Mus musculus: one gene and its partner. The protein of the gene in region 1 interacts with the protein of each later gene in a biochemical or structural test. Links are inferred from orthologs where the notes say so. Each region holds a gene or a part of one and is shown in the gene's direction. Other genes may lie near its edges.

Region 1 (3,600 bases):
TAAGTCTTCATAAAAACAGAGACATTGCCTTGCCTTGTGTCTTCAACAAACCAAACTAAGGGCTTTCTATTCTTCAGGCTTTTCAAGTAGTACCTGATACACAGTCAATGAAAGGTCAATATTGCTGTCTATTTTTAAAGTGAGGGGGGAAATACACAAGTTGAGAAACCTGTTCGATGTTGGACACCGACATCGAAAGGAAAAAGCACTTTTTCTGTAGTATACAAAGGGACAGATGGATGAAGGAACTAGATTGAAGGAATGTGAACCATAAACGTTCCACGCGCCTGAGACTCCTCAAATCGCTCGCCAGGGGTCGCTGCTCTCCCATGTCTCGATGCCAGTCCCTTTCTGGCGCGCACTCCTTTTGCGTCTCGGGCTCGCGCGCGCTGCCGCGGCACCGGAAGTGGCTGCGCTTGCAAGTTCCCCCGGTCTCTTCAGGGGAAACTGAGGCCGGCTTCTCCGGGAGATTCAGCACGAGCAGTCAGCCAGGTAGGCAGGCTTAAGTCCGCGGCATACTTCCCAGCCGCAAAACGCCCTAGTGTCTGGAAGCCACTGGGCCTATGAAGGGGGGATGTGGCCCCCCACGGCTCTCTGGGGCTCGCAGGTGAGAGCGCCGCCTCCCCTGTGCCTGACAGGCGCTGGGCCCAATGGGAGCCTTTGCCGTCCCGCTTCCGTGCCGACTCGACCCGCGGATTGGCTAAGCTGGGGCGGGCCGCGGGGGCGAGACCCCTCCTTCCAGAGAGGTCTAGGGGGCGCCCCTGAGGGAGGGCGGTTGCCTAGCAACGGGGCGGTGGCTCGGCGGGTACCCGGCCTAGGGGAGCGCGAGCAGTAAGCGAGGCCTCAGCCCACCCACCCGGGGCTCCGGCGCGGAGCGGCCTCCGGCCCTCGAGCCCTGCAGGGGGCTCCAGAAGGCCGCCTTGGGCTCGGCCTCAGGAAAAACGAGGTCTCCACTGTGGGAGCCCCGACCCTTCTTCCTGGCCGGTGGCGGGGCTCAGTGCCTCTCTCTCACCCCGTCTTTGTGCGTGGGGTGCCGGCGGCCATTGTGTCCGGGCGCGGAATGGAGGACCTGGCCGTCCCCCAGTGCTGTGTCCAGGGCCTTTGGGGAATTCAAAGACAACTAGCGGTGTTTGTGGGGGGTCTCCAGCATACGCCTCTCGGAAAAACCCGGGAGTGGTCTTTCCGAAATCAGATCACAGATCCGAGGCTGTCTTCCCCCTGTCCGCGTCCCTGCGCGAAACCTTGAGATTCACTTGGAAGTCCCTTTAGGGTTTCGGAAGCCTCATCTAGGGCTGGTACTTAAATAGAAAGAAAGAAAGGAGGGGTGGGGGGAAATTACACTAAACCCATACCTCCGGGAGAGTTCTCCTGACTCCCAGTAGGAGGCGGAGAGCCAAGGGGCGTGCTAGAGCGAGGGGGTTGGGCTCCCGGGTGGCTGGAGCCTGCGGAGCAGAGAGAGGCCGCCCTCGATCTGGTCGATGGAGGAACCAGGTTGTGAGGGGGCAGGTTCCTAAGCTTCGCAATTCCTCTGTCGCCTTCTGAGCTGCCTACCAGGTCGCATGATCCCTCCGGCCGGGGCTGGTTTTTTTTTTTTTTTTTTTTTTTTGCTGAGTTACCGGCGACCCAGCCACCACCTCCTCCCCGACCTATGATACAAAAGACCTTCCGGGGGTTGTACCTGCTTGCTGTCGCCGGAGATAGATTTGAATGTAGGTGGTGGTGGTGGGGATATGCCAATGGGGGTGACTTTTGGAGAAAGGCATTTCGGAGAAAAGGGGGTGGGTGGTTGTAGTAAAAAGAGGCGGATGAAACAATTCAAAGCTGGCTGGTCCTTTCAATTTGACTTCATTGAAGTCCCTTAGAACCCGGACTCAGACCTTCATAAGAGCCACAAAGAAAGCAATTCTGGTACCTGGAGGAGGAATGGGAATATTGTAAGGTAAATGACATGCATATTAAATTTTTCTCCTGAAGCTCTCTCTCTCTCTTCAGAACCTTATCTTGGCTTTGGATCCTGGAAGAGAATCGCTAAACACAGAGCAGACCCAGTAAGTGAGCAGGTGTTTTGGACAATGGACTGGTTGAGCCCATCTCTATTATAAAAATGTCTCAGAGCAACCGGGAGCTGGTGGTCGACTTTCTCTCCTACAAGCTTTCCCAGAAAGGATACAGCTGGAGTCAGTTTAGTGATGTCGAAGAGAATAGGACTGAGGCCCCAGAAGAAACTGAAGCAGAGAGGGAGACCCCCAGTGCCATCAATGGCAACCCATCCTGGCACCTGGCGGATAGCCCGGCCGTGAATGGAGCCACTGGCCACAGCAGCAGTTTGGATGCGCGGGAGGTGATTCCCATGGCAGCAGTGAAGCAAGCGCTGAGAGAGGCAGGCGATGAGTTTGAACTGCGGTACCGGAGAGCGTTCAGTGATCTAACATCCCAGCTTCACATAACCCCAGGGACCGCGTATCAGAGCTTTGAGCAGGTAGTGAATGAACTCTTTCGGGATGGAGTAAACTGGGGTCGCATCGTGGCCTTTTTCTCCTTTGGCGGGGCACTGTGCGTGGAAAGCGTAGACAAGGAGATGCAGGTATTGGTGAGTCGGATTGCAAGTTGGATGGCCACCTATCTGAATGACCACCTAGAGCCTTGGATCCAGGAGAACGGCGGCTGGGTAAGAACCACGCCCCTTGTGTGTCCGCCCCTTGCTTGTGTCTCTCTTCTCTGTGAACATCCCTAAAACTGCCCTTTTTGGTCTCTTTCTGTTATATGGCATGGTTGTTAAAGATACCGATTGTTCAGGAGACCTTCCTGGCTTCATTTTAATACAAGAGGTTAACTTTGGAAATATAGATGACCCAATTTTTAAGGGACCTGTATCTTTCATCCTGGCTACCCTTGTGGCCCCACAGTTTCATAGTTTTGTTCCAATTTCTCAGCAAAGAAAAACAGCCTATGTGTTTACTTGGCTTAAAACCTATGAGAGCAGCAAGTTCTCCCCGCGTTCTGCTCACTCTCATGAAATGGGTCACCTTGGCTGGGGTGATGAACATAATACCCAGGAAACTGCAGAACTGGAACCTCAGGCTGCTGTGTACTTGCATGCATGGTACTCAGACCATTTGGCCAGTCAGGAGCCCCCACTGGCTAGAGTGGCTGAGTATTGTCTGATTTTAGAGGAGGGTGGTCTGGGCCAATGGTGTTTGTGCTGTGCTCCTAAGTTCTTTTTCCCCAAAGTGTGCAACTTTCTGCATGGTTGGCTTGTTTGTAGAGCCCTTCCTGTGCCATATCAAGCCCCAGGACTTTGCACCTCGCTGCCCTGGATTGGTTGGGGATCTCCAGCTGCTCTGCCCAGTGTTTTTCTGGTCAGGGCCCTGGGGCCTCTTTACTGAAGCACTGTTTGCTGGCAGAGCAAGAACCTGGTTTGTGAGGCTCCATAGGAAATTAAGATTTGGTGACAGACTGTATGTGGGTGTGAGTCCTGGCCCTGTCACTTAACTGGCCATGTGACCTTGGACAGGCTGGTTTACCTTCTAGAGCCTTAGTTTCTAACAGACTATTGTGACCCAAAGATAAAGAGAGCAGAGGCTGACACAATGAGTGCTT
Region 2 (2,444 bases), about 34 Mb from region 1:
CCTGTGGCCTGACACCTAACGGTCATCTCTTTTCCTTACAGCACCAGCAGAACCGAGACCGTGCGTGGTGGCAGGTCTTCCTTTTCCTTCAAAACCTCGCCCTGAACAGACAAGAAAACAGGGAAGGGGTGGGGCCCTGGTGAGGCTGGACCGCCCTGGCCGGATGGATCACCAGGAATGCAGTCTGGGAGGACAGATACTGTCTTGTTAAGTTTTGTTATCCGTAACTTTCTATCCATGTGTACATATTACATGCCCCAGTGGGATCTTCTTTCCCCGTTCAGAACCTCCACTGAGGATGGGGGCCTTTGTCAAACACTGTTGAAGGAGAGGCAGCTGTGTCTGCTGGTAGAGTTCCTAAGGCTCTGAAGATGACCAGTTGGTGATGTTCTCCAGGAAGTGGACTGAGACTTGCTACCGGAGCTGGTTAAGTCAGGTTAGGCTCCCAGTACCATCAAACATGTCAGCCTTCCTTCGTGCCTGATGGATCATGGCTTTAACCCACCAGGACCCTGTCTGGGAGCCTCCTGGCTAAGATCAACTGTGCCTTGGCTAGCCCGATTCACGTCTGGGTTCCCACTTGGCACAGCCAGCGCCCACCGCATGGGCTCAGGGATTCTTACTCAGACGCTGTCAACTTCCGGAAGACCTCAGGGAGGGTCGGACTTCTCCAAGAACCCCTCAAAGGTGCCACAAAATGAATCAAACTTGAGAGGCTTCAAGTCTGACTCGGTCCTACATGGAAGCCCCTTGATTGGTCCCCAAGGGTGCAAACTACTGCCACCTTTGCTGGAGCCAAGTAGCCAGTCACCATGCCGTTGTACCCAGCGGCCTGTGCCTTTGTCAGCTCTGTTTTCAGAAGACCCTGCCAATGACTGGACTGGATCTGTCTGCATCCATCTCAGCAGAAGCACTTGGAGATGGGGTGGGCTTGCTGGGGGCGTGGGAACCCAGCAGCCATCCCACTGATAAGTTGGTCCCGGGGGAATCCTAGACCTCTTGGTTTCCTTGGAAACGTGTACCTCCTCCCCCTTACCCCCATTCCTTTTCTGTACCTAGCGGGATACAGGAAGAAGCTAGGACTGAGGCTTTGTCAGCTGAAAAGTGACTTTGGAAGTAACAGACAATGTTTAGACCATGGAAACTGCAGAGCTGACACATCTTGAATCTCCCTTTAGCTTTCAGCTAGGCCAGAAAGGAGAGTTCTAGAACCCAGCAGGACCTTAGCTGCCTGGGAGCTCCTTCCTTCTCTCCCCGCTGCAGTGCTCAGGGAGGGAACGAAAAGCAGCTGATCTTAGAAATTAAGTCCTAAGTGTTATGTATGTAAGGAAAGACATTGGTGCTATAATGAAGATGAGCCAAGGCTCAAAGAAAGATGGCTTCCCTAGACAAAGAAGAACACAGGATTATTCAAGGACTTTGGAGGAGAAACTCAGAGTAGACTCAAATTGAACAAGCCCAGTGACTCCCCATTCTGCAGAAGTGGGGGGGGGGGGCGGATTTCAGTACCATAAAAGGGCACCGGATCTCCTGGGTGTCCAGTTGGGCAGGTTTCTCCCTGCCAAGGCTACCGACAGAGGGGGCTCATAGAGGCTGAGGTCCAGCCTGTGCCCTGCTCTCTAGGCTGCACATCCTGATGTGGGCAGGGTCTGCCCAGAGTAAGGAATGTCTTTCCTAATTTGCACAAAGGTACTGTGTGCACTCTCAGTGGTCCTGAGGAGGACCTTAAGGCATGTGTATAAGCCTTTGTGTTTTTCTGCTCAGATGACCTGGAGATATTACCTCTTCTTGGCCACAATCATTTTTCTCAGGGTCTATACCATAGTTCGTCTGCTAAGAAAGTGGGTTTCTGTTTGCAAGGAGAGGGGACCCAAGTAATGAATATGAAGACTGGTTCTGAGGGTGGGCTTGATTATTTGTGAAGCCCAGCCTTCCTACATCCCACCCTCCCTGCAGTTTAGATGTGTGTGGGACATATGTGGTCTTCCCCTTTCCTGGATCAAGGCTATGACAGGCAGGCTTCTGGTATGTGCTTGGTACATGTGCTGCAATACATGTGCTTGATGGTACATGCGTGCCCCTCCCCATACAGAACCTTGTACTTCAGTTATCTTTAACATAACTTAGTAGACTTTCCATCTGTCCTAAGGCATGACTGTCAGCTTCAGCAACCTTGCTAGGTGCAGGCTGGGTACCCTGTGGCCTGAGAACTGAGCCCAGAGTTTGACCTGAACATTGAGCCTGGACCAGGCAGAAGCTGGTCAGAATGTACTGTCTCCATTTTGGGCCAAGCCGGGACCAAACTTACTAACTCAGGCAAGCCAGGGTGAAACTTAAACCCTCTTTTATCTTTAACCTGAATCCAGGCTGGAGTTGAAGCTCAATGATAAAGGGCTTGCCTGTCGGTCAAGAGACCCTCGGATGGATCCCAGGACTGTAAAATA

What was found. The genes of interacting proteins can lie anywhere in the genome.
Region 2: the proteins of Bcl2l1 (region 1) and Bmf interact in a test that uses a peptide from one of them, tested with the Homo sapiens proteins (2 studies listed by BioGRID). The link is inferred for Mus musculus from reciprocal best matches to the Homo sapiens genes BCL2L1 and BMF.

Annotation. Positions count from the first base shown.
Region 1 is NC_000068.7:152,828,495-152,832,094, reverse strand, and holds the start of Bcl2l1 (bcl-2-like protein 1), read left to right. Parts: upstream 1-1,377; 5' UTR 1,378-1,709; exon of another isoform or gene 1,710-1,908; intron 1,909-1,974; exon of another isoform or gene 1,975-1,992; 5' UTR 1,993-2,104; coding exon 2,105-2,668; exon of another isoform or gene 2,669-3,600. UniProt on the Homo sapiens protein: Potent inhibitor of cell death. Inhibits activation of caspases. Appears to regulate cell death by blocking the voltage-dependent anion channel (VDAC) by binding to it and preventing the release of the caspase activator, CYC1, from the mitochondrial membrane.
Region 2 is NC_000068.7:118,530,257-118,532,700, reverse strand, and holds part of Bmf (bcl-2-modifying factor), read left to right. Parts: intron 1-41; coding exon 42-143; 3' UTR 144-2,444. UniProt on the Homo sapiens protein: May play a role in apoptosis. Isoform 1 seems to be the main initiator.